Xenopus tropicalis: one gene and its partner. The main gene of each other region encodes a partner of the protein of the gene in region 2 in a complex. Links are inferred from orthologs where the notes say so. Each region holds a gene or a part of one and is shown on either strand. Other genes may lie near its edges. The genes, in order: nop10 and tert.

Region 1 (3,926 bases), on a different chromosome or scaffold from region 2:
TCAACGATCTTGATCATGATGTGTACTATGACTATTTCTTCACTTAAGCTGGCCATACATGTAAAGAATCCCACCTTGAGGTGGGTGATATTGGTCTGATTCGATTATTTGACCATTGATCACAACACAAGCAGGCTGTTGGAAAGAGGTCTGAGTGATTGCACATGTGCAATAACCTTATATGCAGGATTCTAAGCTGCAATGTGAAAACAGACTGAACATAACTTCATAACTGGGGATTCACACAAGCCCGTTACCAAAATAAATATTCTGACAATAAATATTTCTTCATAAAAAAAATTTCCGCTACACTTTTTAACAAAGTTACCACTTGCAATCAGGTTCTGTGTTGGTTTCAGATTCCCCTTGTGAAGGTTTAACGCAGCGCATATCTTCACTCATTAGCCCTATATGAATCAGACTGGCTGGCAATACAATTTATGCAATACAAGGAGGAAACAAGGCATGCACAGTACTGGAGCTGCTCCTGCTTCTTCCTGTTATGCGCTGCCAACCTCTGTAAAAAGTAGTGGACGTAGGGGCCGGCAAACCCTCCTCCAGTGAGACAGTGCAGGACTCAACATCACATAAGCCCTGACTTCATTGAAAATTTTAAAGGAAACAATTTGTTAAATTCCTATTGGCAAAATATTTTTTTGGCAATAGGGGCTTAAATAAATGTTAACACAAAGTTGGACATAGCCTTTAAAGGAACAGTTCAGTGTAAAAATAAAAGTGGTTAAATAGACAGGCTGTGCAAAATAAAACATTTTCAATATGGTTAGTTAGCCAAAAATGTAATCTATAAAGGCTGGAGTAAACAGATGTTTAACATAACTTCCTCCTTTACAGCTCTCTAAAGGCCCCCATACACGAGCCGATAGAAGCTGCCGATATGGGTCCCTTGGACCGATTCGGCAGCTAATCGGCCCGTGTAGGGGCAGAAACGAGCGGCCTGCCCGACCGATATCTGGCCTGAAATTGGCCAGATATCGATCGGCCAAGTTATAAAATCCAGTCGGATCGGGGACCGCATCGGCTCGTTGATGCAGTCCCCAAACCGACTGCCCCATGGCTGCAAATGTAATCCGATCATTTGGCCCCAGGGCCAAACGATCGATTATTTTTCTTTAAAGCTACTTGCTACCCGATATCGCCCACCCGTAGGTGGGGATATCAGGTGAAAATCTGCTCGCTTGGCGATGTCTTATAGTGTATGGGGACCTTAAGCTGTTACCAGTCAGTGACTTGAGGGGGGTTGGATCTGGGACATAACTGTTCAGTTAGTTTGCTTATGAATCTGACCTGCATGCTCACAAACTAACTGAACAGTTATGTCCCATATCGGACAAGTCACCCCTCAAGTCACTGATTGGTTATTGATGGCTAACAGCTTAGAGAGCAGAAAGTAGTGTTCTGGCTATTATCTTAAGACAGGGGTGTCAAACTCAATCACATAAGGGGGCCGAAATCTAAAAAACAGGTTAAGTCGCATGCCAAATTTTTTATTAATATACTTAGTAAGATACTAAGGGGAATATTTATCACAATGTGTAAAAAGTGGAGTAAGACATTACCAGTGATGTTGCTCATAGCAGCCAATAGATGCTTTGCTACTGTTGAAATCTGATTACTGATTGGATGCCTTGGGCAACATTACTGTTAAGGGCTCTGGCACACGAGGAGATTTGTCACCGGCGATTTTTAAAAGAGCGATTTGGCGACAAGATGAAAGACAAGACGCCAATGCTAAACAAATGGAAATCGCCAGCGTCAAAACATACGAGGCTACTTCAAATCGCCTGCTGTTTCAAATCGTACAGACCCTTTTCTGAGCGACTTGAGTAAACATGAGAGGGGTAACTGTTGAGTGTACCATGGGTAGCAGATCGCCTGGAGCTCAACTCTCATGAAATCTCTTTGTGTATTGTCGTGGCGACTTGTCGCCAAAGCGCCAGGGGGGAAAAAACGCAGGCGACAAATCTCCTCGTGTGCTAGAGCCCTAATACTTCACTCCACACAGCATGATAAATATACCCCTTAGTCTTAGTTACTATGTGAGGAAAATGGAAATTGATCAGGCTGGATGGTCAGACACCCTCACCAAGGGCCACATAAAACAGCCAGGTGGGCCGGATTTGGCCCCCGGGCCTTGGGTTTGACATTTATGTCTTAAGACATCCACTCACTCCAGCCTTTATATATTAGATTTTTGCCTTACTATATTAGAAATATTTTTTATTTCGCACAGCCTACCTATTTACCCAGTTTTATTTTTACACTATACTTTTCCTATAATCCCTATATAAAATGCTTTAATCGTGGCCACCAGATGGACTTAAGCAAACAATTTTCTTTCAATTTAATTGGAACTAAACGCTTAACTTTCTCTATAGGCATTAAAACATGTTGCACTGCCCATTTGTGCGACCCTCCAGGTACTAAGGAATAGTATAGGTCAAAGGAAAATATCAGCCCATCACATGCTGGTTTATAGTTCCATTGCTCACCTTCATTGTGTATACACGCTCCCCCTGCTCGTTTAGATAAAACTGCAGAAACATCCTCTAGCGTCAGGCAGCGACACGCGCAAATCTACAGCGAACAGAAACACACGCAGGTTCCACACTCACCAAGCGCCCCACGTTTTTCTCAACAGGGTGACGATACTACTTCCGCACAACTACTTCCTGTTCCGGTAAAGTTCGTCACTTCAGTAGTTCCTTCTCCACACCCCCTATCCCGCTCTCGTGTTGATATTTCGCCTTATTTTCGAGAGCGAAATTCTCCGTTTGTTATGTAACTACGGGCAGTAACAGCCTACTTGTTTTTGTTTTGTTTTGTTATTCATGCGCCCCAAATCCTTATTTGTGTTGTCTGGCCTTTGTTCTAACTAGTCAGTAAATCTGGGTATCATTCTCAGTCGTTCCTGAGGCAGCTTGAGGGCGCTGACCAATCAGCTCACTTGTGAGTTTAGCGGTTAGAACACGTACCTATGATGCGAGACACTTCTGCAAAGAATAAAAATATCAAAAAAGATTATGACCTACCAGCGTGTTGGAATGGGTGTAAAGGGATTGCAGCAGGAAGGAGGGGATGCTTAGAAGGAGTTAGCATAGAGACGGGATCTGACAGTGTTAGAACATGCAGGCAGGGGAGGTTTGAGGTGGTGTTTACTAGTAGGTTGGTGGGGATGGAGTTAAAATGGTCTAAAAAGAGTAGTAGTTACATGGTGTATCTTTTAGAAAGAGTCTAAAGGTGGCCATGCACGGGCTGATTTTAGCTCATGATATCAGGATTTGGCAGCTCATCTGCCTGTGTATGGGCACGAATGTCGGGCCTCCCCGACCGTCTTCTGATCTCGATTGGGCAGGTTTGGGTTTTCCATTGATCAGAGACCACATTGGCTGGTTGATGTGGCCCCCGAACTGACAGCTTCTATACCCGCCATTTTAATTGGTTTGGCCCAATATCGGCCACCCGTAGGTGGGCATATCGGGAGAAGAGCCACTCCAGTAAGAGGTTGGAGTTAGAAAGTATAGTTGGGGAAAGGGAATACCCAACCTCTTATACCCGTGAGCCACATTCAAATGGAAAAAGTGTTGGGGAGCAACACAAGCATGAAAAAAGTTTCTGGGGTGCCAGTAAGTGCCTCTTGGTAGCCTCCCTGACCAGTTTTCTTCTCGTCTTTTCATCAATTTTGGAGGGACGTCCAGTTCTTGGTAATGTCACTGCTGTGCCAAATTTTCTCCACTTGATGATGACTGTCTTTACTGATATCTTTTAACAATGAGATCCCTCTGATGCTTTGGAAGCTCTCTGGGGACCATGGCTTTTGCTGTGGGATGCGACTAAAAAAATGTCAGGAAAGACCAAGTAGAGCAGCTGAACTTTATTTGGGGTTAATCGGAGGCACTTTAAATGAT
Region 2 (3,826 bases):
GCAGCAATAACGGAAGATGAGTTATACCTAATTTTCCCATTAGATTAATTAGGCTTAATGTGGAGTCAATGGGAGATGGCCTTCCCTTACTAAGCATTCTACAGATCCCATACCCATATAATTTATATGACAGCATTTTATAAATTAACTTAATAGCAATAAATTAGCACACTAACCTGTAAGCTTGAAGTAAGAATATCTTATAAGTATTGATGAAAACTGTCCTTAAACTATTTACCTGTAGAAAATAGCAGAGACATATTAATATTCGCAATCACCAAATAACTATCATGGCAACATCATACAGAAGAACTTCAATTTTATGTTTTTTAGGGGACCAGGAAAAATGAGTGTAAAACCAGTGAAATGTGTTAAAGCATCAATCCTAAAAAATAAGTGGCTCAGTTATATGGTAAGGGGGAGGGGGAAAAAACTTATTAAAAAGACTTTCTAAAGCCCTTTTAACGGCTCACCATTAATGAATGTGAGCCCAGGTGTATAAACCCCAGGCTCTCCACCAAAACCTAATTGCAAATAACGTGATGATAGGCTCACCCAGTAAATTATGTGGTCCGGGTGTACGAACCCCAGACCCTTCCCCTCCAACACACAGCTTCAAAACACTCCTGGCAAAATTATAGGGAAAATGCACTCACCAAAAGCAAGTCGTGGTTCTGGTGCAGCACCCTAAACCCGTAGCCTGAGGTATAAATGAACATCAATTGAAGGAGAAATGGCACGCACTCCTAAGTCCACTAAAACTTGTCTTAATTATAGAGATCTTAAAACAAAGAAGTCCTGGCGTGTTTCGTATTCAAATAATATGTAGTCATCGGCACGTATGACTACGTATTTTTTGAATACGAAACGCTTCAGGACTTTTTTGTTTTAGTGGACTAAGGAGTGTGTGCCATTTCTCCTTTAATAAATGTGTTAAAGCAACTTCTTCAAGTACTCTAAAGCTGGCCATACACGGGCAGATCCGCTCGCTTGGCGATGTCGCCAAGCGAGCGGATCTTCACCCGATATCCCCACCTTCAGATGGGCGATATCGGGGAAGCATGTAGGCGAATTCGATCATTTGGCCCTGGGGCCAAACGGTCGAATTCTACACGCGGCAATGGGGCAGTCAGTTCGGGGACCACATCAACGAGCCGCATCTAACCTGGCCGATTGATATCTGGCCAATTTCACGCCAGATATTGGTCGGCCAGGCCCTTCTGTTCTGCCCCTACACGGGCCGATAAGCTGACGAATTGGTCCAAGGGACCGATATCGGAAGCTATAATCCGCCCGTGTATGGGGACCTTAAGGCTATAAGCACAGGAGTCAGTTTGACTTTAAATAACAATATTTACTGTGTTAATGACAAGGAGTAAGAAGTGCAACATTAATGTTACACAATGGGGGGGGGGGGGATTGATTATCATTAATAATTAGGGATGTATCAAATCTAGGATTCGGTTTGGGATTCGGCCAAGATACTGCCTTTTTCAGCATCCACAAAAATAGTGGAGTCGCTGCATCCCTAGTAATAATAACATTCACAGAGGACAAACAGCCATTTTTGTGAAAATATGACAAAATTGATATGTAAAAAAAGTACTCATTGAAATGCATTATATCGGTGAGACCACAAAAAAACAATGTAGAATGTAAGAAAAGGTAAAATCAGGGTGTGTAGTAAAGTTTCACTCTAGTTAAAAGTATTTGACATGCTCATTTTTACCTGTAAATCAAGAAAGAGACTGTGGCACTTCAATTTAAGGACTCTTAGAAGTTTTTGTTTCATGTTTTTTCCTGCTGCAGAACTGTGACAAAATGTCATACTTGATCGGATTGAGGTACAGGCATAACTAATGAGAGGAGAAATATTCATAAAAATAATGCAATTTCAATTCACAGACCATAACTGCCTTACAAATTCTAAAAATAAATTTTTGCATGATGCACTTCTCCATCAGGTTCAAATAATAACATAGTTAAATTAAATACACTGCTCAAAAAAATTAAAGGGAACACTTAAACAACAATGTAACTCCAAGTTAATGACACTTCTGTGAAATCAAACTGTCCATGCTGTTGTGCAAATGGAATAGACAACAGGTGGAAATTATAGGCAATTAGCAAGACATCCCCAATAAAGGAGTGGTTGTGCAGGTGGTGACCACAGACCACTTCTCAGTTCCTATGCTTTCTGGCTGATGTTTTGGTCACTTTTGAATGCTGGCGGTGCTTTCACTCTAGTCCTCAGACCCCTCGTGAGACCATATGCTGGGGCGGTTGGCCCTGGGTTCCTCCTATTGCAAGACAATGCTAGACCTCTTGTGGCTGGAGTGTGTCAGCAGTTCCTGCAAGACAAAGAAATTGATGCTATGGACTGGCCCGCCCGTTCCCCAGACCAGAATCCAATAGAGCACATCTGGGACATCATGTCTCGCTCCATCCACCAACACCACATTGTACCACAGACTGTCCAGGAGTTGGTGGATGCTTTAGTCCAGGTCTGGGAGGAGATCCCTCAGGTGACCATTCGCCACCTCATCAGGAGCATGTAGGGAGGTCATCCAAGCACATGGAGGCCACACACACTACTGAGCCTCATTTTGACTTGTTTTAAGGACATTACATCAAATTTGAATCAGCCTGTAGTGTTTTTTTCCGCTTTAATTTTGAGTGTGACTCCAAATCCAGACCTCCATGGGTTGATAAATTTGTTTTCCATTGATAATTTTTGTGTGATTTTGTCAGCACATTCAACTATGTAAAGAACGAAGTATTAATAAGAATATTTCATTCATTCAGATCTAGGATGTCTTATTTTTGTGTTCCCTTTATTTTTTTGAGCAGTGTATAAAACTTGGGAGCAGATATTTTGTGGAAAAACCTCCAACAACTGTACAAAGAATGAAAAAATTCTACATCCAATAGGCTTTTAAGACACAATACAGACTATGTGAATATAAGAAAAAGAAAAAACATATGCACATCAATGCACAAAAGTAAAAAACTAAAACAAAATGAGAGCCCAATTGTAAGGAAGTAACAAGAGTTGAAATTGTTACCCCAAACAAGACACTTTCCATTTACATAAGACTGATAAGTTATCATGCATGGACATTAAAATCTGTATCCTGGAGTATTTCTGGTGAAAAATCACTTGTCAGGAAACCAATGCTGACAATGCTGTCAGGAAACCAATGCTGTCGCTAGGGGAACAACATCACTTGTCTAGATATTAAGAAAAATTGATACTGCAGCCAAAATCTATATATAAACCCAGGAACCCATTAATTTAAACTTATTTTTTAAAATGCATTAAAAATAATAAAGCAATATCGAAAATAAAATCAAAAGTAAAATATTGTATAATCCAAACCTTGAATAATCATAGTAAACATCCAAAGTCTGAGTGTCCAGCAAAAGACCACACCACCGGAACAAGCAGTGAACAGGTAATTGTTCCACTTCAGAGCATGCTGGGATGTCATCAACAGGAAAGTTTACCACTGTTTTTTGAGGGCTGATGGAGCACCCATATTGGGGAATTCCTTCTGCCAGAGTCCTGTGGTTAAAAATACATACATTTAGTATATCAGTTATAGAGCCCCTCTGCATCCAATAGTAGTCATGTGAGCGCTTGTATCTGGTTTAAGTGCAAAAGATGTTTCCAACCTGAAAATTACGCCTTTTATATAGTTACATAGTGTTGAAAAAAGACCAGAGTCCATCAAGTTCAACCCTTCCAAGTAAACCCAGCACACACAAACCTATACTTACCAATCTATACACTCACATACATAAACTATATATACAGCTACTAATA

The links.
Region 1: tert (region 2) and nop10 share a complex: the UniProt entries of both Homo sapiens proteins name them as parts of the telomerase holoenzyme complex. The link is inferred for Xenopus tropicalis from reciprocal best matches to the Homo sapiens genes TERT and NOP10.

The regions. Positions count from the first base shown.
Region 1 is NC_030677.2:142,942,141-142,946,066, reverse strand, and holds the start of nop10 (H/ACA ribonucleoprotein complex subunit 3), read right to left. Parts: upstream 2,607-3,926; 5' UTR 2,565-2,606; coding exon 2,511-2,564; intron 1-2,510. UniProt on the Homo sapiens protein: Required for ribosome biogenesis and telomere maintenance. Part of the H/ACA small nucleolar ribonucleoprotein (H/ACA snoRNP) complex, which catalyzes pseudouridylation of rRNA.
Region 2 is NC_030682.2:58,800,221-58,804,046, forward strand, and holds part of tert (telomerase reverse transcriptase), read right to left. Parts: intron 3,566-3,826; coding exon 3,380-3,565; intron 1,857-3,379; coding exon 1,730-1,856; intron 239-1,729; coding exon 177-238; intron 1-176. UniProt on the Homo sapiens protein: Telomerase is a ribonucleoprotein enzyme essential for the replication of chromosome termini in most eukaryotes. Active in progenitor and cancer cells. Inactive, or very low activity, in normal somatic cells.